Coturnix japonica: one gene and its partners. The protein of the gene in region 5 purifies or fractionates together with the protein of the main gene of each other region. This does not show direct contact. Links are inferred from orthologs where the notes say so. Each region holds a gene or a part of one and is shown on either strand. Other genes may lie near its edges. The genes, in order: BAZ1A, RBBP4, CHRAC1, HMGXB4, SMARCA5, MYO1C and BAZ2A.

Evidence for each region.
Region 1: the proteins of SMARCA5 (region 5) and BAZ1A purify together in Homo sapiens (affinity purification with western blotting; 8 studies listed by BioGRID and IntAct, with this or other methods). This does not show direct contact. The link is inferred for Coturnix japonica from reciprocal best matches to the Homo sapiens genes SMARCA5 and BAZ1A.
Region 2: the proteins of SMARCA5 (region 5) and RBBP4 fractionate together in Homo sapiens (co-fractionation; 6 studies listed by BioGRID and IntAct, with this or other methods). This does not show direct contact. The link is inferred for Coturnix japonica from reciprocal best matches to the Homo sapiens genes SMARCA5 and RBBP4.
Region 3: the proteins of SMARCA5 (region 5) and CHRAC1 fractionate together in Homo sapiens (co-fractionation; 5 studies listed by BioGRID and IntAct, with this or other methods). This does not show direct contact. The link is inferred for Coturnix japonica from reciprocal best matches to the Homo sapiens genes SMARCA5 and CHRAC1.
Region 4: the proteins of SMARCA5 (region 5) and HMGXB4 purify together in Homo sapiens (affinity purification with mass spectrometry; 3 studies listed by BioGRID and IntAct, with this or other methods). This does not show direct contact. The link is inferred for Coturnix japonica from reciprocal best matches to the Homo sapiens genes SMARCA5 and HMGXB4.
Region 6: the proteins of SMARCA5 (region 5) and MYO1C purify together in Homo sapiens (affinity purification with western blotting; 3 studies listed by BioGRID, with this or other methods). This does not show direct contact. The link is inferred for Coturnix japonica from reciprocal best matches to the Homo sapiens genes SMARCA5 and MYO1C.
Region 7: the proteins of SMARCA5 (region 5) and BAZ2A purify together in Homo sapiens (affinity purification with western blotting; 3 studies listed by BioGRID and IntAct, with this or other methods). This does not show direct contact. The link is inferred for Coturnix japonica from reciprocal best matches to the Homo sapiens genes SMARCA5 and BAZ2A.

Annotation. Positions count from the first base shown.
Region 1 is NC_029520.1:32,602,264-32,605,763, reverse strand, and holds part of BAZ1A (bromodomain adjacent to zinc finger domain protein 1A), read left to right. Parts: intron 1-1,359; coding exon 1,360-1,526; intron 1,527-2,183; coding exon 2,184-2,279; intron 2,280-2,703; coding exon 2,704-2,842; intron 2,843-3,277; coding exon 3,278-3,424; intron 3,425-3,500. UniProt on the Homo sapiens protein: Regulatory subunit of the ATP-dependent ACF-1 and ACF-5 ISWI chromatin remodeling complexes, which form ordered nucleosome arrays on chromatin and slide edge- and center-positioned histone octamers away from their original location on the DNA template to facilitate access to DNA during DNA-templated processes such as DNA replication, transcription, and repair.
Region 2 is NC_029538.1:4,587,403-4,591,394, reverse strand, and holds the start of RBBP4 (histone-binding protein RBBP4), read right to left. Parts: upstream 2,801-3,992; 5' UTR 2,666-2,800; coding exon 2,650-2,665; intron 2,190-2,649; coding exon 2,042-2,189; intron 1,474-2,041; coding exon 1,328-1,473; intron 1,099-1,327; coding exon 925-1,098; intron 741-924; coding exon 625-740; intron 460-624; coding exon 299-459; intron 175-298; coding exon 48-174; intron 1-47. UniProt on the Homo sapiens protein: Core histone-binding subunit that may target chromatin assembly factors, chromatin remodeling factors and histone deacetylases to their histone substrates in a manner that is regulated by nucleosomal DNA.
Region 3 is NC_029517.1:131,125,106-131,129,339, reverse strand, and holds the start of CHRAC1 (chromatin accessibility complex protein 1), read right to left. Parts: upstream 2,801-4,234; 5' UTR 2,753-2,800; coding exon 2,579-2,752; intron 2,411-2,578; coding exon 2,284-2,410; intron 916-2,283; coding exon 770-915; 3' UTR 1-769. UniProt on the Homo sapiens protein: Forms a complex with DNA polymerase epsilon subunit POLE3 and binds naked DNA, which is then incorporated into chromatin, aided by the nucleosome remodeling activity of ISWI/SNF2H and ACF1.
Region 4 is NC_029516.1:47,646,101-47,649,600, forward strand, and holds part of HMGXB4 (HMG domain-containing protein 4), read right to left. Parts: coding exon 3,493-3,500; intron 2,106-3,492; coding exon 2,030-2,105; intron 1,067-2,029; coding exon 157-1,066; intron 1-156. UniProt on the Homo sapiens protein: Negatively regulates Wnt/beta-catenin signaling during development.
Region 5 is NC_029519.1:26,870,098-26,874,382, reverse strand, and holds the start of SMARCA5 (SWI/SNF-related matrix-associated actin-dependent regulator of chromatin subfamily A member 5), read right to left. Parts: upstream 2,801-4,285; 5' UTR 2,686-2,800; coding exon 2,563-2,685; intron 225-2,562; exon of another isoform or gene 210-224; coding exon of another isoform or gene 207-209; intron 121-206; coding exon 46-120; intron 1-45. UniProt on the Homo sapiens protein: ATPase that possesses intrinsic ATP-dependent nucleosome-remodeling activity.
Region 6 is NC_029534.1:4,011,093-4,013,456, forward strand, and holds part of MYO1C (unconventional myosin-Ic), read right to left. Parts: intron 2,159-2,364; coding exon 2,061-2,158; intron 1,847-2,060; coding exon 1,747-1,846; intron 838-1,746; coding exon of another isoform or gene 811-837; exon of another isoform or gene 463-810; intron 1-462.
Region 7 is NC_029544.1:1,717,421-1,721,346, reverse strand, and holds the start of BAZ2A (bromodomain adjacent to zinc finger domain protein 2A), read right to left. Parts: upstream 2,801-3,926; coding exon 2,607-2,800; intron 2,098-2,606; coding exon 1,989-2,097; intron 1,904-1,988; coding exon 1,802-1,903; intron 1,709-1,801; coding exon 1,498-1,708; intron 1,409-1,497; coding exon 1,347-1,408; intron 1,173-1,346; coding exon 1,107-1,172; intron 1,027-1,106; coding exon 835-1,026; intron 760-834; coding exon 505-759; intron 76-504; coding exon 1-75. UniProt on the Homo sapiens protein: Regulatory subunit of the ATP-dependent NoRC-1 and NoRC-5 ISWI chromatin remodeling complexes, which form ordered nucleosome arrays on chromatin and facilitate access to DNA during DNA-templated processes such as DNA replication, transcription, and repair.

The DNA of each region.
Region 1 (3,500 bases), on a different chromosome or scaffold from region 5:
AGTTGAGGTCTTGTGACTAGTGGAACCTGTTCTTGCAGGCTTGAGAGCTGGCCATAATTAAGACTGTTTTTGGGGTTGTATATTTCAAGGGGAAAATGAAATGTAGTGACAGTTTATTCAATTGCAGAATGTCACTTCAGTGGTTAGAACTGTTGTTTCCTGCTTTTATTTACTTATTTCACTAAACTCTGGGTATGTGTGAGACTTGCGGTTCAACTACATTGGTCTCTTAAGGTGGTGAACTAAAAATTGCAGAAGTTTAGATTTTGAAAGTGCACTGTGTTAATGCAGTTAATATTAAGCTAAACGTATTTACCTGTAAGTGATACTTAATTGGAATGGTAATTAGTAACATTCATGAAGCCTCTCAAAAAGAGGTGCTATAGTACTTTAGTAATGTGAAATGGTAGCAAAATTCCAAGGACGCTGAAGAATCAGCCTCCTCAGTGCACAGAAGGCTGTGGATAATAAGTGTCATTGCTTTTATATTCTGGATGAGAATCATGACTGGCATGTCTGATAGATAGCTGAGAAAATAATCTAGCCCTTTTTCAGAATTTCACAAGTAGTTTAAAAAAAAAAAAAAGCCTTTTTTTCCATTGTTAAGCACTTTTTATTAAAAGTAAGGGTCTGGTTTTTTTTTCCACTGTCATTCACTTGTGATTCTAGCCTACTTATTCAATTAAAATTGTAATCTCATTGATCCCTTTTATTTGTTAATTTGTGTGGCAGTTGACAGATATTGTCTGTCCACTGAAAGTGGAAGCATGTGCCCTGCTGTTACCCTGCATACAGCTACAAAGAAATCTATCAGTAACATTTATTACCAATTAATTTTCAACTTAGTGTGTAACGGAAGTAAAACTTGCATAAAAGCCACTGAGTTGATAACTGGATTTCAGATGAATCGACTTTTCAGTAATAATTGTTTTAAATATTGAAAGTTAACTTCTTTAAAGGATTTTGCTGTAACAGATATTTCATGTGTATGTGCCATCGCTGCTTCTGAAATGCTTTAATAAGCTTCTGTAAATCTATGCATTTGGAATCAGTCATCATCTTTTGGCTTTTTTGATAGGGAAAGAAAGTAATAAATGTCTGTATGCTCATTAAGAGCTGAGAAATACAACTTTACTACAACCTTGGGAAAAAACATGTATAATACATAAGCCCTAAAATTCTGATTCTCTGAAGAACTTTCAAGTGATTGAATTTCTGGTTGGCATAGAAACAATTCAGTCTTCAAGACAATATGTTTTTCATATGTTAATTATAAGAAAGATCAATCTATTTAAACACAGTTAATTTTATTTAACTTTTTGTGAAAGAAAAAATTCTTGTTTTTTTCCTCCTATGTAGCTTTTGAGAAAGCTAGATTAAAACGAGAGAAGGCAAATGCTATAGAAGCCAGAAAAAGAGAGAAAGAAGATAAGGAAAAAAAGAAAGAAGAACTAAAGAAGATTGTGGAAGAGGAAAGGATGAAGAGGAAAGAAGAGAAAGAGAGACTCAAAATAGAAAAGGAAAAAGTAATGTATTTGCAGAATGTGTTTTATATGGGAACAGGCCATCTAGCTCATTTGGTTTGTTTGCAGTCTGTGTCATTGTTTTCCATTAACTGTTTTTAGTTCCTAGAAATGCACTTTAGAAGAGTAGATACTTGTAAGACATGATATGGAACTGCATTTCTAGATATCTTTCTGTATTTCAGGTTGTTAATTCACAAAAATATATTTTTTGTTCTCCCTTGATACTAGATTTAGATTTCCTCGTAGTTTATCTTTGAAAATTGGTTTAAAAAAACCAACCAAACAAAACAACAAAAACAAGAAAAAAAATTGTCGCTTTACATGGAATGAAATTATTTAATGCCACTGAATTCTACTACAGTCATATCCAGTACCTGTTTTGACAGTCTTTTTTTATGGCAACTTTCATGAATGCTTTTATTTTAGATTTTTTTTTTTTGTCTGACCTCCATTTGAAAACAAAAAAGTCTAATCCAAGGAAGTATTACTGAAGCTCACCCTCAGTTTTGCTAATACATTCTGTAAGAAGGTTAAAAATAGATCATCGCTTTCTGTTGAAATACGTTCTTTTTTACCCCCCCCTCCCCCCCTCCACTGTGAGTTAAGTTCTAACGAATGATCCGACTGTATCTCTAATACAATTCTGACTTTCTTTAGGAAAGAGAGAAGCTGCGTGAGGAAAAAAGAAAATATGTGGAATACCTGAAGCAGTGGAGTAAGCCTAGAGAAGATATGGAGTGTGATGATCTTAAGGTAGGGTTGAATTTGGAATATATGACAAGCTTGTATTTCATAGGGAATCTGCTTATTTTTGCTTGCCTGGACTGTTCTGTAAAACTTAAATTCAAAATTCTTGTGAAATAGTACAGTCTTAAAAGAGAGATCTTGACACCCAATCTTCTTAACTTGTCGTGGAATTGAGTTCCTTTAAACGCAGTCAAAAGTTGTGTTTATGACGTAGAATAATTTGGTATCTCAAAAGATGTATATCCAAATTACGTGCTATAAAAGTTACAAAAATGCTGTTGTGGTAATAGATTGTTTGTATCTATCTTCTGTGAAAAACAACCACAAAAAGCCACATAGGTATGATTCTTAGAACCACGGACTGTTTTTAATCAGCTGTGTATTCTGTAGGGACCAAATACAATATTAATGTCTTCCTTTTGGATTGTAGGAACTTCCAGTTCCAATGCCAGTGAAGACGAGACTTCCTCCTGAGATCTTTGGTGATGCTTTGATGGTTTTGGAGTTTTTATATGCTTTTGGGGAACTCTTTGATCTTCAAGATGAATTTCCTGAAGGAGTGACTCTAGGCAAGTTGTCATTTATGTGGCAAAATGCCTCAATTTTGTGGTGTCCTTCTACCAAGCATTTTAGATGCACCATAATACTGCTGCTACAGGATTGTCTGTGCAACTTCAATATAGCAACGCTTATACATGCACATCTATCAGTTTTTCTTCTCACCGACTTTTGCAGTGTTTATAAAAATAATTTCAATATAAAAGCTGTTAATCTATTTGCTATTACTGTCTCCTTGTGCTTTCTTAATCTGTAACTGCAAGAGTAAAACAAACTATGCATTGTCAGTTCTTACAGCGTTATTGCAGGAATATTTGTGGTAAATTATGGGAAGGTGACTGGATTATCATACCTGAAGGAAAGATGTTTGTTTTCTTTAATTCTTCAGTACGTAATTGTTTTCCAACTTTGTGGCAAAAGTGACGCTTCTTAAACTTTATTCACAGAAGTTTTAGAGGAAGCTCTTGTAGGAAATGACACTGAAGGCCCACTATGTGAACTGCTGTTTTTCTTCCTGACTGCCATCTTTCAGGCAATGGCCGAAGAGGAAGAAGAAGTGGCCAAAGATCAAATAGCTGATGCTGAGACCAAAGGTCAGGTCCTTAATTTTACTGCTAAAAACCTGATTGTGCTGGAATTAACTTTAAACTGCATGATCTGTGTCATTTC
Region 2 (3,992 bases), on a different chromosome or scaffold from region 5:
CAACATGACACACCAACTCCTACTCCAAATTCAATACAAACATTTACCTTATCAGCTGATCCTGTAGCCAGGATAAACTCACTGTAGGGATTGAAAGAAAGGCAGTTGACTTCAGCTGTGTGAGCATCCACGGAATGGCTGGGTTTGGAGGTGTTGTTTGACCGCGTATCCCATCTGTAAGCAGAAGGAACAGACCTGGAATGAAGGCTTACACCCCACCTTACGGGCAGACCAGGGAGCAGCTGGGAAGGCAAAATGGACTGAGATGTTCAGCCTCTAAAGAAAGCACCCCGCTTACATCATGAGCTTCTGATCATCAGCAACAGATCCAAAAAGAGATTCGTGCAGCAGGTGCCAGGAGACATCTTCCACTACAGCTGTATGCCCTGTGAAGATGGTCTTTGCATCCACCACTTTACCTTCTTTTGGAACAGCACTTATATCCCACAAGCAAATGGTCTTTAAAAAAAAAAAGGGAAAACCAAAACGAATAAAAATTGTATCTTTAGACAGGAATTCTCTGCACTCCCCCACCTCCATCCCCTCAAACACAGAAACATTCCTGACCTTTGTCAAGGGACACAAAGTGCAGATCGCACCCCAGCTACACTTAAAAGCACTCACGTGATCATCAGAAGCACTAAGCAAATGCCCACTCAGGTTTGGGTTCCACGACAGCCCGTAGCCTTCTTTCTGGTGTCCACGAAGACGCAGATCAGGGTTACACTCTCCAGAAGGGTCTGTAAAAAGGCAGTGTAAGAACTCCGATGCTTAGAATCACTATCAGCACATCAAGGATTAAAGTTACACGCTATGCAACCCACAAAACTTTTCAGCCTCTTTTGCACCCCATCAACCTTAAGAAAAGGCTGTTGTGGTTATTTTTGTAGCTCTGAAGCATGAAGGTGACAAAGCTCCAACCACCTGGTTTAGAAGGATGTTTGGTGTAATCGAAGACGAGGACATCGCTGGATGGAGTCTTTGTAGCAATGATGCATGGGTTCTGTGGCATGTAACGAGCTCTGTTCACTTCTCCCTCATGGTTTATCTTGATTTCAATTTCAATTTTTCCGCTAACAGACCCAAAGCCTCCAAACTCTGTGGGAGAAAAAATAAAGAACATAAGTAAGCATTGTCTTGCTTACAAATAACTCTAAGAAGCCCAAAGATCACAATACAGATTGCATAATCCAGGCTTCTGGCAAGAAGAAAAGCTAATATTAGATTGTTAAGAACTTTTAGCATGCAGAAAAATGGATTCAACCATTAAGAAGTGGAGGAAAAACAGAGTTTAAGCCCCACCTGATTGACATCTTTGCTCCCTTACCTCCTTTCTCACTATCGTAGTGTGAGGCATCAAACTGTGCATCATCATTAGGCAGCTGCACACTCGCTATCACGAGATGATTTTGTTCATCTGAAGTGTGAGTCCCCAGGACCAACCGGTGAATGCTGAAATCCTTGCCCTCAGGCCTGTGAGAGAAGAAACTCAGGTGAGAAACACATGGAGTTTACACAAACATTGAGCTGAATATGGTATGTACTGCTAACAGCTTCCGACACCTGTAACATCCTTAGAAACTACCATTGCTCTCCTGCTCTGACACTGTATTTCTTCCTCCAGAAGAATCTCTCCTCCCAACTCAAGATCTCAAATCACAATTCTTGGAGCATAACAGCACCTACCCCCAGATACCTCCAGCAGTTCCCCTGCCTTCCTTTAAGAGACTCTAACAGCCTCCCCAGCGCACAGTTGGAGATGCATATACACTCTTTGGAAGCAGAATGTTGTGGAAGATTAGGATGAAAGAGTGCTTAAAGTGAAACTATATTTAGTTCTCTGTGGGGAGGAGGGCTTTGCATTTCAAAAAGGAGAACGAAGCTGGAAGAAGAAAAGCATCAAAATCAAAGACGTGAAGCATTTTCTTGGTGATAAGCAGCACTTTCCCCACATTAAAGGTGTCTCTGGGGTTTGCAGACGAGACAAGGAGTCACACGGAGCCTTACTTCTGCAAGGAGTACATCCAGAACGCACCCTCACCTCGTCACATCGGGGAGCCACTGCGCAGTCAGGCTGGGCCACTCCAGAGCGTGGGTCATTACCAAGTCATATAAGAAGGGTGTGTTCTTCTTCCATATCTTATACTCCTCGTTGATCACACGTTCTTCCACTGCGTCATCAAAGGCTGCTGAAGGGTTCATGAAAGCAATGCGGGATGTTAGCGTTTATCAGGACAGGCACAACACACACAGAGATGGGTGGGCACTCAATAACGGGGCACTCAATAATGGAGCACTCAATAACGGGGCCCTCACTCAATAACGGGCCCCACCACACGCAGCTGTTTATCACCCAACGTTGCTGCGGGACACGCCGCCCCCCCCGCCCGCAGCCCCTCGCAGTGTCAACGTAGCGACCCGTTGTAACCCGTTGTAACAGGCCGGTCCCTGCTGTTTCCCCCAGCGCCCCGCAGGCCGCACGGGACGCCCCCCGCCCCAGGGCACGGCCCAGCGCCCCCTGCCGGAGCCCCCCCGCCATCACTGCGCACGGCGCCGGCCGATGGAGGCGGGGGGGGCGGGCAGTGAGGCCTGAGGCCTCTCGGAGCCGAGTGAAGGCCGCAGCGCCCAGGCCGCGCCGCCGGGCCTTACCTTCCTTGTCCGCCATTGTGGGCGGCGGGATGAGGCTGCGCTGCGCGAGGCGGGCGCTGCTGGCTCCGCTCCGGACGCGGCTCTATTGTTTCCTGCCCCCGCTCCCTGCCGCTCCCGCGCCGCGCACCCCTTCGCGCGCCAACACTGACCAATCCCCGCCCGCCGCCGGGAGGCTTCCGCCAATCGGAGAGAGGCAAGGGGCGGGAACGAGGGGCAGGAGAGCGCGCTCGGCGGTCACGTGTGAGGGCGGCCATTTCCGCGGAGCCATTTCCGGACGGAGCGGGTGGGCGGCTCTTAAAGGGACAGTGCCCCGGTGAGTGCGGTCTGCGCGGGGGGGGGGGGGGTCTGCAGGATGGCACCGTGAGCCGGCCCCGAGCTGCCCCTGAGCTCTGTCCTACCGGTTACCGGTCGCTTAATGGGTCTCTGTGACCCGCCCCGTTCCCGGTTTGTGGCTCCGTTCACACTCAGCCCTGTGCTCTTTCGGCCTTATTCCCTCCCAGGAGCGTTTCCCAGCTCGCAGGTCTCGGTGCTGATCTGCGAACAGAACCCGGAGATCCCGTGTGGGATCGTCCCATGGCCGGCAGTGAGAGCTGCTCCTATGGGAAAAGCCACGGTGGACTCACGTGGGATGTCGGGAAATAATTACCCTGAAGTTAATGGGGCGCTGCAGCCGGTCTGATGTGTTTGCGAGGGAGAGTCGGTGTGGAACCGACTGGTGGGATCCACTGGGTGGGATTGAAGTGCTCCATAACGATGTGCTGTGCCCCATAATAATGTGCTGTGCCCCATAATAATGTGCTGTGCCCCATAACGACATGCTGTGCCCCATCACAACGTGCTGTGCCCCATAACGTGCTGTGCCCCATAAGGTGCTGTGCCCCATAACAATGTGCTGTGCCCCATCATGTGCCATGACACACAGCAGGCTGTGTACCCTGTGCAGTGAAGCTCCAAAGCCAAAGTTACCCGTGTAACTTACTGTAGAGCTGGTAGAATTATGTCCTCGTAGATGCAGTATTTTATTGCTGGAGGGTGATTCACACGGAAGGATCAGGGTTCCTCCCTGCAGAGGCTGAAGGGCACACTGTTGGTGCATGCTCTCGGTGCACACTGTTGGTGCATTGCACACTGTCAGTGCACACTGTTGGTGCATGCTCTCAGTGCACACTGTTGGTGCATTGCACACTGTCAGTGCTCGCTGTCGGTGCGGTGCTGGGTGTCACTGCTGTGTGCCGGCAGTGTGAGCAGCACAGCACTGAACTCTGTGCTTCTAATCTTGTTTTCATGCACAGCCTGTGTGCAGCTGCTCCCCATCGGCTGCTGCTGAGAGCCCCAGCTGGAAG
Region 3 (4,234 bases), on a different chromosome or scaffold from region 5:
AATCCACGTTTAACAGACTTCACTCAGCGTATTTTATCAGAGCACCACGGGCACACAGAGCTGATTACAGAGGAAGGATCTTGTACACATTGATGCTGTTATCCACCACATCTACTTCTTATCACTGCGGCCACTGAAACACATTCGCTGTTGGAATGGTTCTCGTCCTCTACTCAGCTTCTGTGCGGATGTGCCGGTTTAGGCTGCATTACAGCAAGAGCTTTATTATTATTATTATTCTTTTTTTTAAAGCTAAATCAAAATCAAAACAGAACACTCATTCAAATCGGGCTTGGTCCACTGCTAATGCCCTGCCACTGTTCCGGAATACAGGGGAAGGGTTGGATCGCTTCCTGGCTCCCCAAGCAGAAGAGGACCAGGGGGAGCAGATCCTGTGTAAAACCCCTCCCCTCACCTGAGAAACACAACATGGGAAAGAGCTCCCTTTAAAGAGTGAAAGAGCTTTTGGACTGAGAGCTGCCTGTGAGGAATTGTACGTTTGGAAAACGATTGTCTGAAGAAGTCATTCTCATTCATCTGAGCAAGTTCTGCTGTCAGCTTTACATTAGTGCTTCTCTTGTCACCACGTTTCTGAGGGAAGAATTCCATTCTTCAGGAAGTACGCAGTTCAGTTTTTAAACTTCTTAAAGCAAAAGCAGATGGCTCAGTGTATAAATAAATCCAGCATCTGGATTCTCAGTCACAAAAATAACATCCTTTACGCAACAAAAAAAAATGGATCAATTATGAAGCAGCTTCCCATTTAGCCTTAAGATCCAACAGCTTCATCCACAGCTTCATCATCATCCTCTTCATCATCATCCTCTTCATCACAGTTCCCCAACTCTCCACCTCGCTTCTCTTTTTCGAGCATTTTTAGGTATTTGCTAGCTAGGATTTTCTTTGGCAAGATATCTGGAAGGGAGAATGGCTTCTTTTAGTCAGTGTAAGTACTTACATTGCCTATTTCATAGTGTTGCATTCATACAGGATCACACAGTCACAGAGGTTAGAAGGGACTGAGCAGCACTAAACAAAACCAAAGCAACTAACACATTTCAGTTAATAACCAGTTAATTTAGCCTGGCGTACAGATGTATCACAAGTGGAAGTGGATGTAATTCCTTTTTTCTTTTTTAACTATAAGCAATGTTATTTGTTTGATGTTAAATGGGATGCTCAATTACTCAACAGCCTTTGAGAGATTCAATAGGACAGCTGCCTTACTTGTGTCCTAGACAAACCTGATTACTGTGTTCAGGTAAGATGCTCATTCAGGGCAGTAACGATGGCCCTGAGACAAGGGCCATCAAATATCTCATTCTCAGACTCTATCCTATGTCCATGCCCTTTCAGAGTGAAACATTACCAATAAATTACAACAAGAGAAAGGTCTGCATGCACATGTGCGTACAGATGTAAATATGTGCATTAAAAAAGAGAGAGGAACCATAGGATGCATAATTTTCAACAAACAGGATTTGCAGAATTAAATGCTTTTTGAGCCATGTAATTTGTCACATCTTTTTTGGGTCTTGTTTTACAAGCTGAAAGCTTTTAAATGTTGTTGGCATGTTAGAAACGCTTATGGCAATACACTGAGCACTAATTACCCCAGTATAATTTTGCAACACTGGAGAAATCCCTGTCCACAAATAGGTGTTTTCAGCAATGTAGATTATGAGTTTGATTTGAATCACAGAATAGATTGGGTTGGAAGAGACCTTAAAAGCCTATCTAGTTCCAACTATATATGGTCTGGGCTGCCACCCACCAGACCAGGCTGCCCAGGGTCCCACCCAACCTGGCCTTGAACCCCTCCATGGAGGGGGAATCTCCAGCTTCTCTAGGCAGCCTGTTGCTGTGCCTCACCACCCTCTCAGTAAAAAATAAGAAAAGTAATAATAAAATAAAAATTAATAAAAATCCAATTTAAATCTCCCCTCTTTTAGTTTTAACCCCCCCCCCCCCTTGTTCTATCGCTGAGACCATGTAAAAAGTCAGACTTCCTCCTGCTTGTAAGCTCCATTCAAGTGCTGCAATGAGGTCCCTCTGGAGCCTTCTCTTCCCTAAGCTAAAGAACCTTTCTTCATAAGAGAGGTGCTCCAGCCCTTTGATCATCTTTGTGGCCCTCCTGCAGACCTGCTCTAACAACTCCACATCTTTTTGCACACATAATAAGGGCACCTAGCAGAGGTGATTGCAAAAGCAGGAGTGGAAGAGTGGCTAAAGTGCAGCAGATCTACAAAACTACACACAGGATTACCACTGCTCTACAGATACCTGCAAGGAACTGAAAGGTTTCGCACTCCTCTGCGGTGTGAGACAGGTCGCTGTAGGTGAGGGCGTTATTCTCCTTGCCTCTGCCGTGTTTGTAGGAGTACGACGCCAAATACTGAACGAAAAGCTCCTAAAACGGAAAGCAAATAATAGTGACTCGGATATAAAAAAGGCAGTTTAACTCCCAATCAAAGCCATAAAAAATTAAAGTGCAGGTATATACAGGGCGCTGGATGCTGTGGCGCTGAGGGAAAAGGCGCAACCCGGCCGAGAGGGGAGGGAAAGCGGGAGACGCTACCGTGGCTTTAGCGGTGAGGAAAAGCGCGTCCTGGTTGATGCTGGAAACCTCCGGCGAGCTCTTCATGATGACTCGGATCCGCGATAGCGGCAGTGACACCAGCCGGTTCTCCCCGCCGCTCAACCTGGCCGCCATTTTACCCCCCCGGCGCGGCCCCGGCCTTTCACCCCTCATCGTAGCGAGAAATGGGCGGCAGCAGCTCGGCCCCCTGGGAGCTGTAGTCCGTGACCGACAGAGGGAACCCGAGCTCCGTTGGAGGGAGGAGGAGGAGGGACTACAGCTCCCGTGAAGCCGAGCGCTGACCGGGCGGCGGGAGGACTACGAGCCCCCGCGCTCGGCCGTTGCCGGCTCTGGTGCTATGGGCGGGATGGCGGCTCCTCACAGCCCCTCAGAGCGGGTCTCACAGAATCATAGAATGACCCGGGTTGGAAGGGACCTCAAGGATCATTATGTTCCAACCCCCCTGCCCAGCAGGGCCACCAAACATACACCTTTACTAGATCAGGTTGCCCAGGGCCCCGTCCAACCTGGTCTTGAACACCTCCAAGGACGGGGCATCCACAACCTCCCAGGGCAGCCTGTTCCAGGGTCTAACCACTCTCCTAGTGAAGAACTTCCCCCTAACGTCCAACCTAAATCTTCCCTCTTTTAACTTAAAACCATTTCCCCATGTCCTGCTATTGTCAGCCCTTTCGAAGAGTTTACTCCCCTCCTGGGAGTCAGTTCCCTTCAGGTATTGAAAGGCTGCAATGAGGTCACCCCGCAACCAAGGGTCTCATACTGCTTGAGCGCCTGGAACTCGTTTATAATGGCAAATAGGCGCTTCCTAAATATAATCCAAGTAGAGGCCAGCGGCTACAGAGTCATGAGTGTAATCACAGGTTGCTAAACGCCTCATTAAGCTGCTGCAGCCCAATAGCAGGGAGCGCTGTCTGGTATCCTGGCGCTTGTAGGCGTGCTGGGTGTGGAGAGCATAAGTAAACTATGAAGTAATGATGGCGGTGGTGACTTTATGAATGCATTCCACATATATGTAGCACCTACACTCTGTGTTGAGCTGCAGGTGGATGGGGAATGGCTGTGGGTATGGTCAGCAATGTCTTGCACAGCCTGTGGTTTGGATGGGTGCACAACTTGTTGGGTAAAATGTGGCACCTTCAACAGTTGTCAGCAACTTAATACAGCGATAGCACAACAATATATATTTGTTCATTGGCTTTGGGTCCAGCATCACCGTATCTGGAGACAACTTTGACAGTTAAGCAACAGCAATCAAAACCTCTTGGACTGCGTGATTCACTTCAGAGTACAACACTGGTGAAATCACTCTGTAGATTATATCCAAAGTGAAGTGTTATGTACAATGATGCTGTATATGTATCGATCAGGCTCAGTTTGTTTGATCCTTGTAGTCTTGTGACACCTTGTGGAAACAGTTGACATTACTATGACAGCGAGATACATATTTAAGCATCTTCTCAGTTTCTCCACCACTTGGAATGAATTCAACCAGGAGATTGAGTAGCTTAATGGCAATGTCAAAGCTCTACACTGTTGTGTTTACAGAGTCACAATCTGATTATCTCCTAGAGACAATAAAACATCAACTACTCCAATTTACAGCTGGAATAATAGAATATTTGGCCATGTTGGAAC
Region 4 (3,500 bases), on a different chromosome or scaffold from region 5:
TCCTTTTCTCTTTCTCTTTCCTTTTCTCTTTCTTTTTCCTTTTCTCTATCCTTCTCTTTTTCTCTTTCCTTCTCCTTTTCTCTTTCCTTCTCCTTTTCTCTTTCCTTTTCCTTTTCTCTTTCCTTCTCCTTTTCTCTTTCCTTTTCTTTTTCCCACTTCTCAGCTTTTTCCTTCTCCTTTTCTTCCTTTTTCCTCCTCTTCTCATTTTGTCCATCTGAGTGAAAAACAGCAGGATGAGGTGGAGGAAGAACATAGGGAGTGCTGGAAGGAGGTGGTGGTGACACTGTTATTTCCGTTGCTGCCACAGAAGAGTGCCCAGAACTCTTTTTAGACTTAGAGTGCCTCTTCTCCCTGTGCCTCTCCTTGTCTTTTTTTTTCTTACTTTTTTTTGACTTCTTTTTCTTCTTAATTTCCCGGTAGGAGTCATCTATCACTAGCTCACCAGCCTCCAATTCCCCACCAGAAGAGGATCCTGATTCTGGTGGTGCCTCCACACCTGAAATCTCATACTCACTCCCATGGCCTTCTGAAAAAACAGATGTGTCAGCACCAAAACTCTCTGAAGGGGGATGTGAGTCTGGAGGTTTGTGCTTCTTCCGAGATGACTTCAGGAAGCCATGCAGTTCGTGACCCGGATGAAATGACCCTTGTTCATCTCGAGACGATTTCTTTGAGGATTTTTTTGAGAAAGAATCATCGTCTGTAGCACTGCTTTTCTCTTTTGGCGAAAGGATAAGCTTCATCTTCAAGCCATCAGGCTCACGAAGGGTAAGTGTCTCTGTGTTCACGTAAAGAGGTTTCATTTTTTTAGTTTTGTGGAAGCTGCCATCGTCCACTGAGTGCTCTGCACTGCTCCCACTCATCTTCTTCTTGTGGTGCTCCTTTCTGCTTTCAGAATGTCCAGAGGAAGAATAAGATGATTTTTCAGAGGTCTTCTTTGAAGACTTAGAGCTTGTGGATAAAGGTGTGGCGATAGCCTTGAGTAGATCCATGTTTTTGTCAGTGGAGGACGGGCTAGAAACTGCTTTTTTCTTCTTCTTTGATGGTAGATCCAAAGATGAAAGACCTGAAAATGGTCAAGAGAACTGCTTATCAATACAATTCTCTTAACGATACCATTACACAAACCAAAAGTGAAGTGGGAATCCTGCAATACTTAATATTACAGCTAAGTGATTTTCATCTTGGCTGAAGGAGAAACTTGCAGTCAGCTCAGTGTGCCCTTATAGATAACAATTCAAGAGCTGTAACACCAGAGCTGGTCAATCTATTTAATGAAGAAAGACAGAATGGGAAAGTTCTTGCATTTCATCAAAGTTTGTATTCTATTATACAACAGCATAATTTGATAAAAATACGTCTTACTAAGCCTGAAATATTACAAGCTTATAACATCACTTTGAGCCCTGGAGGGATCAATGAACTGAGAGCATAACCATTTTCATTCTGAAAAGAGATTTTTTACTAATTTCAGCTTGCAAAGAGATTCCAAAGACCTGGTTTTCTTTTTACACTGGGACAAAAATAAATCTTAAGCCTGCTAAGATTTATGAACAGGATTGTCAATTTATGGGCTCATTGTGTGAATAACGCTTCTGTATACAATCTGAACTCAAAAGCAATCATATTGTATTCTAATACATCCTATTTTTATAAATTCGGATAAATTAATTAGTACTATCTGCAAGTAAGACTACAGCTTGTAATGCAGTGGTAAAAAAGAATGCAAATGCCAAAGAGGAAAGCATGAGTTAGAAAACTACAACTTGTCAGTGAAGAGTGGAAGATCTCTGCTCCAACAACAGCAACTTGTTAAGCTAAACTCTGAAAACATCATTGAGTGATCTTTTGCTGTTTGGTGCAGCAGAAACCTAATCAGTCAGGCGTCTGACTGCCTGGCCTAAGATAAGTTGGTGTACTTTCCCCCGATAAAGCGCTAACCACAAAGTTTGATGACACTGGTTTAACAGTATCCTTTTCTCAAAGTCAGTATTCATTATCTGCTTCCCCTGTCTCATAGCTGTCTTACCCCGGGAGCAGAACTCATCAGAGGAATGCTTCCTCTTCTTTCTGTGATGTTCTGTCCCCAAAAAGAGTTCACTGTCCTAAAAGAAGAAGAAAAAATAAATGAATGAAAAGCTGACAAACAAGAGGGAAATAACATAAGATTCACATGGACTGCTGACATAGGTAATAATCTGTGGGAGGTATCAAGAAATACTTGTACTACTATAATGCCAAGTAAGCCTACGTATGAACCACTATTCTTATTCTAGGTGCTAAATCAGCAAAGAAAACATAGTATGTCACCAAGAGCCCATAGTGTAGGTTTAAGGTAAAAGGCAAAAAGCATGGTATGGATACACAAGAGAACAAAAAAATGCAGTTTTAGAATAGGTTTCTGCATGCCAGCCAACTAAGAAGCATCAAGCTTTCTGTGGAAACTACAGTACAACAGGACCATAGGAAACTGAAATACTAATCTCTATAGATTAGACTAGAGGGATATAGATAGATCTATAAATATAGAGGGATCCCTCCTCCAGCGAAAGAATTAATACACAAGAATACATGAAAAAGTACATTTGAGAATGTTAAGAAACAGACAATGAAAGACAGCACTTGGGCATCAGCTGATGAGTTGTTAAAAGACAGACATCCACGTCTTAATCAAGCTAAGAAATAAGCGTGCATAGGCTGTCAAGCCTTAAAAATGAAGGTGAGCAGTACATATTTAACATGCTGGAGAAGATAACAGAAGAAAGCACAGAGGTGACAGTCAAAATGATAGGCCAGAAAATAGACCTTAGTAGCTCATGTAGCCCAATTATTACATATCTCTTGACAAATTTATGGTCTGAGAATGAAGCTCTTCTATAGAATTTCATCTATGTGGCAGAAGATTTTTATTTTTAAACTAGAACTTTTCCAGATTTGAAAGCATTAAAAAAAATCACAAGTAGTCATTGTTGAGCTAACAGCAGAAACAGCTCAAAGAGGAAAGTCTTAAAGAAACTTAAGCTGTTGCTACATGATTTCAAAGTTAAGGCCCCAAGGAAACCGGGCAAATTTATCCCTCTCAAGAGTTATCATTTCAGACTATCTGCAGAATCTGGAAGACAACAGCGCATCACTTCACATTTCATTCATACTTTGCTGCCTATTTATGCAACTATAGATTCTAAGTATCTTACTTTTCGTGTGAACAGTCATTCATACTATCTCAGTTTTGCAGGGTAGTACATGAAGTCAAGGATAAGATACTACAGCTCTATTTTCTGAGGAAAAAAATCAGAATCCGTTTTAACTGGGACCGACCCCCTCCATTCACCCAGTAAAGCTACTGAACAATTCAGGACACAATTAACAGTTCTTGCTTTCTTCTACAGGAATTTTCCTAAACAAAAGAACTTTTAAGCAGCCCATCCCATCTCGTCTTAAGCTTTATACGCTTTCTTGCACCTTCAAAGTTTTCTCTACAGACTTTCTGACCTGAGTTG
Region 5 (4,285 bases):
GTGCTTAAGACAGGACAGCTGTATGGATTTCTCAGTGTTACATACCATTTTCTCTTCATATGTAGGATCTGCTTCAGAGATTTCTTTTGGTTTTCCTGGTGATGCATCATTAAAAGATTCCTAATAGGAGAAAAAATTAAAAAAAACTTATTTCCGGAATAAGAAAACATACCTATATAGAAAAGAATAAGCTCGCTGCAAATTACCATCTATCCACATCAGCCGGCACATCCACCTTTTGCTGCTCTGATGCAGTTAGCCTCCTGTTACTGTAATGTGACCCGGGGCTGGATCAAAGATCCCTGCCGCAGGGTGTCAGACAGCTCCCTCTGACCCAGTTCAGCTCTATCGTAACCACATCCCACCCAGGTGGATGAGGGACCAGCTGTGGTGCAGCAGCTCTTCAGGCCACCGTGGAGTGCTGAGCCAGCGCCCCCACAGCTGGCTCTGGAGAGTGCTGGGGAAGAACTAGCTCTGGTCCTGAAGGAAGAGTGCTTCCCTCATTTTCCCTTTTTCCAGCATATCCCGCTTTCTCATCATACTGTATCAAAGGAACAAATCTAACTAAGAACCTGGGCTGCAGCTGTCATGAACGCAGCATGGGAATTTAGAGAAACTGCATTTTTTCCATTGTTTGGTTTGAAACGTCAAACAACTGTTATCACTGACACCAGGGCTGGTAACAGGAGACCATGCTGGCAGGAGGGACAGCCCTCCCTTCAGCCCATCTGTGCCAAATCCTTCACCTCCTGCCTTCATCTGCTCCTTCCAACCAGTGTGTTTTTGTCCTCATCTTGCCCGTTACACCAGGTCAGTTCTTTCCCCATCATCTCCCACATATAATTATTTCACCTCCTGCTCCTAGAACCCAAACGACAGGGCAACCATTCTCTGCTAAACCACAGTAAAACAGCACATTATGCACTAACTCCTGAGAGGCTCAGAAACAGAAACAAGCAGTGCCCTCAGAGCCACCGTTAACCATCTGCTCGGCTGAGCCGAGTGAGAGCTGAACGCGGCTCTTCCCAGCCGGCGGAGAACAAAGGCACAAGTACAAAACACCGCTAAACAAAGGGAGGCAAAACACGGGCTGTTTGTGGGCGGCTCCTCGCACAACTCCGCAGGTACAGCCCGTGGAAACGGAACAGTGCTAACACAGCTACCTCCTTCACCAGCCAAAATACAGAGAACGTAAAGTCACGGCTAAGGGTCTCCTAACCTTACACCCAATCTTTCTATCCTCCACCCGCTGGATTTCACAGAATCACAGAATGACCCGGGTTGGAAGGGACCTCAAGGATCATGAAGCTCCACTCCCCCTGCCTGGTAGGGCCACCTATCTTCCACATTTATTAGACCTGTCTGTCCAGGGCCACATCTAACCTTGCCTTGAATACCTCTACAGATGGGGGATCCACAACGTCCCTGGGCAGCCTGTTCCAGGACCTCAGCACTCTCCTAGTAAAGAACTTCCCCTAACATCCAACGTAAATCTTCCCTCTTTTAACTTAAAACCATTTCCCCATGTCCTGCTTTAGCTGACAGCCGGCCACCTCTGTTCTGCAGACAGGGCTGTTGGAACTTCCATGCCAAATTCCCCTTTCTCCATGTAGGCCTGCAGCAAGGCACACCGCAGCACAGTGCCACACTACAGCCTGAGCCTCAGAGCAGGAAGCCGGCGTGCTTCTGAGGTGTCCGGGACTACCAAGAGCCGCCCAACCAGAAGCTCTGCGGCACGCACAGCTCTTCCCTTCCCCACGAACCAGGAACTGATCGGCGGGCCCATGAGGAGCCCGCGCCTCGCAGCTCCCACGCGGCAGCACAGCCCGGAGGCGGCCCGTTCCCGCAGGTCGCGGCAGGACCCGTTTCGCACAGCGCCCCGGCTCCTCGCCCAGCCGGAAAACACGGCGCTCAACACCGCGGCGCTGGGATGGCGCTGCGATGGCGGAGGGCGGCGTGACTCAGAGCTCCGCGCGGGGAGCAGGACCGACCGGTTTCCTCCTATCGCCACAGACACGGCGCCGCGATAAAACCCGCATCCCTGGGACCCGGGAGGAGCCCGAAATAAGCACCTGCCGCCAAAACAGCGCTAAAAAGCTCCGCAGCAGCTCCCTGCACCCACAACCCAAAAAAGTTACAGACCGCTTCACAGCCACCAAGTTTCAGCGCCGCCAACTCGCTGCCAACACCGAGGCGCCCGGCGCCGCCGGGGAGCGTTACTCGGAAGCAGCGCGCGGCGAACCCACGCGGGAGTTCTGCGGGCTCCGTGCGGGGCGGCCACGGGGGCAGGACCCCATCCCGCCTCGGGAGCGGACACACCGAGCTCCGCCGCGGCAGCAGGGCAGTAAGGCAGCAAGGCAGCAAAACAAGGCGGCAGGCAGCAGGGCAGCAGGGCAGCAAGGCAGTAGGCAGCAGGGCAGCAGGCCGCCCCCCGCAGGCGCCGCGACGCACGGCGCGGCCCCGCGCCCGCCCCTCCATTGTCTCCCGGTCCGCCCCGCCGCCCTCGTGGCGGGCACCTGCCGCCGGCCCGGTACGCGGGGCCGCCGCCGGCACGGCGCTCACCTCCATCGCGGCGTCGGCTCCGGCAGTGCCGGCGGCAGCCGTTCCCGAGGCCTCTCCGCCTCCGGCCCCCGGCGGCGCGGGCGGCTCGTCCGGCGGCGGCGTTCCCTGCTGCCCGGCGGACATGATCGCTCCCCGCACACGGCGCTGTGCCGGGACACGGGCCGGGCCCGCTCCCGGCCGGCTGCGCGCTCGCGGCCTGGCGGCGGGGTCGGGCTGCTACGAGCGGAGCCCGGTGCGCGGCCGGCCGAGGAGGCCCGTCGTCCCGTCGTCCCGCTGCCGCCCCGGCTTTCTCGGCGCGATCCCACCAACCAGGAACCGAGCCGGCAAGCAGCTCTCGCGAGAGCCCGGCCTCAGCGGCGGGCCGCCTCCTTCCTCCTCCTCCTCCTCAGCCGCCGTTGGGGCCGCTCGTCTCGTTCCGCCTTCGCGAGCGCGGCCACGCAACAGCCGGGTTGGGGCGGAGCTGCCTCGCGCGGGCCGGTAACGGCCGCGACACCGCGTGTAGAGGGACAGCAGCGGGGGAAGGGGCAGGAGCAGGGGCGGGAGCAGCGCGGCGGCGTCACGGCGGGCAGGAACAGCCGGATCGGGGCTCGGATGGGGCGCACATGGTGATCCTAAACAACGGGCACTCACGGGGCCAGAGCCCGCGACACAGCGCTCCGGTACGGGTACACATGGCTACACCAGCGGGTAATGGAGGCACGGAGCGAGCGTGCACGTAGAAAACTGCCTGGCCCTTGTGCTGAGCAGCCCTGAAACCACACAGGGAGGAGTGACGCAATTACAGCTGTGCTGTGATTACAGCTCTGCAATTAGATGTCCAAGGAATGGAAGGAATTTGCTCTGACACGGCCCGGCCATTGTGTCACCCGGTGTCTGAAAACAAGAATAACGTGGCAGAAGTGTTCATCACCTTCTCAAACCTCGTGTTTTCCGCTGCTTGTTTTCCCTCATGACAGAAGCCAGTCTCAGGGAGGCAACTTTCGTTTTTCAATATAAGCAGCTGCAGATCACAGCGATATAATTCATTTTTGCTACTGGTACCAATCTAACAGGACCCTGGTTGCAGTTTTTCCCTGCTCTCCTCTGCTCTTAGGGCTCTTCTAGAGCTGCCTCCAATGATGCTGCACCGTCTGCATACTGCAGGCAGGACAGAGGGCTGGGATCCCCACACAGTGCCCACCTGATTTCTCTGTCTGCCAGGAAAAGCACTCAAAAGCACAGGTAGAAGATCCCTGGTGAAGAATAGTGCAGCTTTTAGGAAGAAATCGGGCACTTGGGAAGAGATGGAGATGTTTCAACACCACCATTTATTGGCTTAAAAATCACCAGGTTGGATCATACCAGCTGGTGGGAGATGAGAGAAGTTGTAGAGAGAAGGGAGGAAAGTACCATCTCCACCCCAGCCTTGTTCATCCTGGTCATCCAACAAGGCACTTTGTGGTGCTGAGATCCTTGTGGGCCACTAAAGATGTTCACCTCTATGGCAAAATTATTTTTTCTTCCTAGATACTACCTGGATAGTTTATCTGTTTCTCTCGCTTCCTCCTTCATCATAAACAGAGAAGAATTTTTGCTTCAAAGTTAACAAGCAATACAGCATCAGCCCCAAGTATTTCATTCACATAATGTCAAAAAAGATCCCAGCCAAAACCTCTCTACAGAGGCAGGAAATGCAGCCATTTACTCGTCCCCTCCCCACAGCAAGACAGGGGAGAGAGATGGA
Region 6 (2,364 bases), on a different chromosome or scaffold from region 5:
GTGCTGACCTCTGCAGTTTGTGTTCCTTAGGTTCTGTTTGGATGCAGTTCTGATACTGCAGTATAAAAACATGGCTGTGCTGCCAGAAATGGGAGAGGAGGCTGCAAAAAGAAAAGCTGCTGTATCCAGATGAGTTGGTGATGTGATGGGTTCATCAGGTTAATACAGTCTGTTCATAAACTTAAAAACAACAGAAATTCCAAATCTAAAACATACGTTTCCACATCAGTGCCGTTTCTTGTAGTAAATCTCTCATATTCAGCTATAAAGTATTTACAGGGTTGGGGTTTTTTTTACTCATTTACACGATATGGCTTTAATATTGTAACATAAAGCATTGCGACATCTCAAAATCATCCATCAAACACTCTGAATATAAAGTTTGGCATTTCGGTGACTGCTGACAGAGCAGCGTTTCTTCTGCTTGTGCTTTTGGATGATGTCAAGCACAAATTTTGGTCGTTTCCATCAAGGCTTAAAACTCACATAGAGTCAGAACTACCTCTCAAAGCCCGGCCAAGCAGGTTTCGTGAGCCACGGTTTCATGGCCGTCGTGTTGGACCCTTGTTGTTTGCCACTAAGGTGAGGAAGAGAAGAGAAGGCCTTTCTTTTGGAACTTTCATGTTAAGACAAGAAAGCAGGATGCGTTCTGTGGGGATGCTGGAAGTGCAGGTCTTTGGTAACGATACACAATGAGCAAAGCGAGGGAGGCTGCAGGGGGTGTGCTGGGATCAACACCCAGCCAAGGTACGGATGGATGGGGGTAGTCAGACTGATGGAGGAAGGGGTTCTGTGATGGTGGCACTTCTATCATCGGGAGTTCAACCGAGGTGCAACCTGCAGGAGGAGACAGACAAGCTAGAAACAGGTGCTGCAATGGCTTTAGCTCCTGAATATCCTTAAAGCTCACCAAAGACTGGCCTGCAGGACGAGCTATGGGGGATGTTACGGGCACATAAAGCTCCCTCTGGGAATACTGAAGCTCAGCAGGAAACAAGCAGGTGCTGGCTGTTCAATGGGAGACGTGATGCTGCTCCCTTAGGCTCAGCACTGCAGGAGTGATCTGTTCTGTGGGCAGTGGGAGGGAGGGCAAAACTGGAAGAATGATCTTAGGGATGGTTTGAAAGTGCTGGTGGAAAAGGGATGCGTTTCTTCTTAGTTTGGTTTGCTGACTGCAAATGGAGAGAGGTGGGATCCTCACTGCAGTGTGCTTGAGCAAATTCAATCTTCCTGTGTAGAGCTGGTGGGTGTCCCATGGAGCAGGGAAAGCCTCTGACAGGACTGTGTGTGTGGGCTTTACAAGGCAGGTTTGTTTGAGCAAAGTGGGAATGCTGAGTCCATTCCTGACAGCTGCCATCCTGCAGAATGGCAGGGGAGGGGATCTTTCAGCACTGATGCTGTAATAAGAGGCTCTGGATTCATTTCTGACCACAAACAATTCCAAAAGGGATGAATTGTTTTTCTTCTTGTGTTTTTAAGTCCTTTAAAACTTGACTTGCACTAAAGACAGAATCGTGTAAAAGAACCCAAGTGATTGATAGGACTGTTACTTGAGTTTGAGCAAGCCTGGCAGTGTGCTGGGACCAGAGAAGTGCAGGACTCCAACTGGGGAGAGGGTTCCTGGAGCAGGAACAGTGTGTTCAGCAGGGAAATCATGGCACGTGTCTCTGCAGTGAATGTGGCCTAGTGACAAGGTCTGCGTTCTGATGCACTGTGTGTAACTTTTCTTACCAGTCCTGTACTCACCACTGTTAAATGGCCGTTCTTGGCTTTGGCTATGAGCAGTTCTGAGCCTGATATAAAATCGATGACTCCTTCCTTGCCTTGACCGACTGTGAATTTTATGCTGCAGAGAAAAACAGGTGAGAAACATGATTTAGAATGTGTGGCTTCACTTTACCGGTGCTTAATGGCTATAGGTGAACTTCAAGGAAACGGAGGCTTAGTTAATTATATTCTGATGACATACTTAATGCCTGTAGCCCTGTAATGCTAAAGCTGAACCAACACAAAAATGAAGCAGCTCCTGAGCAGGGCTGGGCCTGCACGGCTCCACTCACCTGCCCTGGTTGATGTTGATGTTATTCACTTTGTCTGCCCTCATGGCTGTCTTTGTCAGTGTCTCTATCACGTGGTCGCTTTGAAGTACAACGTCGCCCTAGGGTGGAAAACCAATAGTCTGTGATCGTGGCTTCTCAGTGACTGCACCAAGAGAATTGGTTTGAAGTTCTATCTCCAACAGGTTGGCATGGAAAACATCTCTCGGGTCACACTGCACTGACAGCAGTGACTTCATTCACAAGGTAACAGCAATGGGGGCAAGGGGACACGACCACTCCTGTCAGTCACTGGTGAATCCCATTT
Region 7 (3,926 bases), on a different chromosome or scaffold from region 5:
ACAACGCAGCACCTCCGAGACGGTGTCACGGTTCAGGCTGATCTCTGACACCTTCTCACCCAGGATCTTAAGGGACTGTGGGGGAATAGAGAGGGGTTGGGGGGCAGCAATGGGGGAGTCAGCTCTTGGAAAGGGTTGATAAGAGCAAAGCGAGGGGAAATGGCTTGAAGGTTGAGGTTGGATGCTGGTTCTTTGCTATGAGAGTGGAACAGCTGCCTAGAGAAGCTGTGGATGCCCCATATATCCCTTAGGGATGTTCAAGGCCAGGTTGGATGGGGCTGCTACGAAATGGGGAGGTTTGGACCCTTGGGGTCAATTCCAACCCAAACCATTCTGTGATCTGATGGGAAAACCCAAAGCCTGGAGCGGGGCGCCCCCAAATGGGGCCGTAATATGGGCAGCCCTGAAATGCAGCTCTCAACCTGCAGCAGCTGCAGCCTCAGGGCATCACAGGGCAGGGGGTGGGGGGGACACAGAGGGGTCGGACACATATCAGGGCATTACCTGGCAGTAGGGGGGCAGCCCTGGGTCATAGAGCGCAGCCTGCAGCAGCCTCACCAGCAGGTCCTGCACGGCGCCGGCGCTGCCGCCCACCCCCAGCAGCCCCTCCTGCATCGTGCTCAAGCTGGGCACGTCCCTGCTGGGCTCGAAGCCCAACACTTTGCCGTAGCTCTGCAGGAATTCCACCACCGTCAGGCAGTGGGAGAAGGCACGGCTGGGCAGCACCAGGCCTGGGATGCGCGAGAAGGTCGGAAGAGGCTGTGGGGCAAAAATGGGGCGGTCAGGGCAGGTTATATGGGATCAGAGCTGACAGACCCCCTTCCCCATCCCCACCTGGTGGTCCGCCAGGCACATATCCTCCGTCGGCTTCTTCATCTCCTCCAGGATGAGCTGCTGCCGTCTCCTCTCCTCCAGGCGCCGCTGGGCCAGCAGCCCCTTGTCCACCCTGCGCGGCCCTTTGCCCTTCTTCTCCTTGGGCCGCCCCTTGTCTTTGCCCTTCTCCATTTTGCCTTTCTTCTCCTTGGCCTGGAAACACAGCCCAGGGTGGGTGGCCCCTCTCAGCCCCCTCTTTACCCTCCCTCCCCCCACGGCTGCTGCAGACTCACCTTGCATTTCTTCTTGGCCTCCTTGGCTTTGGGAGCTTTCGCCTCTTGCTTCTGCTTGTTCTTGGCCTGGAAGGGAATAAGAGCAGCTCAGGGATGGGCAGCAACATGGGGACCCATTGGATGGGGCAGGGGGCTGCTCTGTGCCCCCCAGATGGGGAAGGGGGAGGCTCCATGTCAGCCACCCAGCCAGAGGGGCCTTAGGGCTGCCCCCAGCCCTCCCCAAGCCCTATTCACTCCTACCTTCCGCCTCATTTTCTTCTTGATTTTGCTCATTTTCAGCTTGTCCTCATCACTGAGCACCTCTATGACAATGGAGAGAAGGGGGGTTGGTGACAGCAAGTGGGGTGGGCTATGGGGTGGGCTATGGGGTGGGCTATGGGGCAGGGGGTACCTTGGGCCTCCAGCCTCTTCAGCAGCCTGGCATCCGTCTTGCTGAGCAGATCCACCATTCGGGCCTTTGGGGGCCGCCCGCGGCCTCGCTTCACAGCTGGCAGCTCTTTGGGTTTCACCTTCTCAGCGTTACGGGGTCGCCCACGTTTCCCAGTGATGGCCTGGATACGGGCTGGGATCTCCTCGGGGCTCAGCTTCACCCACTGCAGACCCTATAGGAACAAACCCCATTAGCCCCAATAGGGAGCGACCCACAGCCCCATAGCATCGCATAGGGTGCTATAGGGCACTCTAGAAGTGCTCACCTCCGGTGTATCCCGCTCCTCATAGAAATCCCCCACCGGCATCCGTGGGCTGAAGCTGAAGTGTTCCCGACGGACGTCCTGCACCACGTTCCTATTCAGATACTGAGGGGGGGGGGACAGGAGGAGGATGAGGGGCTGTGATAGAGCTGGGGGGGCTGCTTAGAGGCCCCCCCCCCCAATACTGTACCTTGATCACCTCCGGGAACTGCTTCATCCTCTTCCCACACGGCCCATAGTACCACGTCTCTCCCTGCCACCGGTGGTTCCCCCTTTTGATGCGCACCTCCCTCCTCCACCTGCACGAAGGGGGGGGCTCAGCATGGGGTCCCACACAGCCAGGGGGGATGTGGATATGGGGGGGGGCAGGGGGGATGTGGATATGGGGGGGGGCATCACAGGGGGACGTGGATATAGGGGCACTATAGGGGGATATGGAAATATGGGGGCACAAGGGGGTATGGTGGAAATATGGGGGGACTATAGGGATGTGGAAAAAACAAAAAACAAATGGGGAGGCAACCAGGGGATGGGGATATGGAGCGGCACCAGGGGGGGTTTATGTTTGGATTGATGGGGGGGGGGGTCACAGAGGATGTGGAATATGGGGCATTATGGGGGATGTGGATTGGGGGCATCATGGGGGGTATGGATATATGGGAAGCACCGGGGGACGAGATGTGGTTATGATGGTGGGGGCATCAGCGAGGATTAGATATAGGGGACAATGGGGGATTGGATATGGAGGCACCAGGGCTAGGATTTGTTATGGGGCACTATGGAATTTGATTATAGGGCACCACGGTACCCGTGCTGCAGAGGGGAATCGCACCTCCTCGGGGCGGACGGGGTGGTGGCATGCAGCCACTGCGTGGGACGGTTCACCTTGTAGGGCAGAGGGAGGGGAGGGATGGGGGGCCAGCTCCCCTCAATGGGCGATGTGGGGAGGGGCACCCAGGCCTGGAGGTGAGAGGGCGAGATTGGTGGTGGGGGGGTTTCCATCCTCACCTCCCACCGATGTGCTCAGTGGGCAGCGCGGGTGTCCGCAGCTCTTTGCTGTCCCCTTCTGGAGCAGCTGAAGCCTCCGTGCAGCTGTCAGCCACCTCCTCCTCCTCCTCCTCTTCTTCCTCCTCCTCTTCCTCAGCAGAAGGACACGGGGATTCGGGCTCCAGTGCAGTGCTGAGCTCCAGAGCCCCCGATTGCTCCGGGCCATCATGGCTGCTGCTCAGCTCAGGGCTGGTATCTGCAGGGCCAAAGGCAGCACCATCACAACCACCATCCCTTCCGACCCCCCCCCATCCAGCACCCAGCTGGGGGGCTCGTTTGGCTGTGGCCCCCTAATACCATACAATGTTGCCCCACCATTACCGTGCAGGGGGGCGGTGAGCTGGGGCTGGGCAGCAGCGGGGGCCGAGGCGGGGGCTGGCAGCAGGTTGAAGGGAGCGGCAGCGTTGGGGGCGGGGCTGGCAGCAGGGAGCTCCAGGGGGGGGGGGCGGGTTGTATCATTCATGGGCTTTCCAAGGGGATTATCGCGCCCACAGCTGCGTCTCATCCATCTCGCATAGAGGTTCACCGTTGTCAGGGTCTGAGGGGATTTGGCAAAGAGCTCAGCTGGGGCAGCAGGCGAAGCCAGAGTGATAACATGGGAAGGACGAACCCCATACAACACACACATGGCAGGTGAACGACCCCCCCCCCCCCCCCCCCCCCACCCCCCCCCTCCTCAAGAGGGCTCCAGGACCACAGAGGGAGTTAATGGAGGCCGCAAGCCCCCGCCCCCGCCCCCTCGGTTGGAAGCGGGGGCCCAAAATGGCCGCGGTTTAGCGGCGAACAGTTCGGCCAGCGCGGAAAGTTGAGGAAACCAGCTTCGTCATGCGCCGGGGAACGGAGGGAGCGGAACCGACGGGCAGGAGCGACCGGCCCCAAAGCGACCCCGCCCCTCCGCGGCCTGGGCACCACGGGGCGGGGCCCGGCCCCCCATAATACACAGCACCCCCCCAACATAGCAAACAACCCCCCATTAACAAAACATCCCCCCCTCCATACCCACCCCCCCCCCATTAACAGGGATAACCACCCCCTTCCCAACCCCCCCCCCCCCCCCCCCCCATTAGACAAATACCCCCCC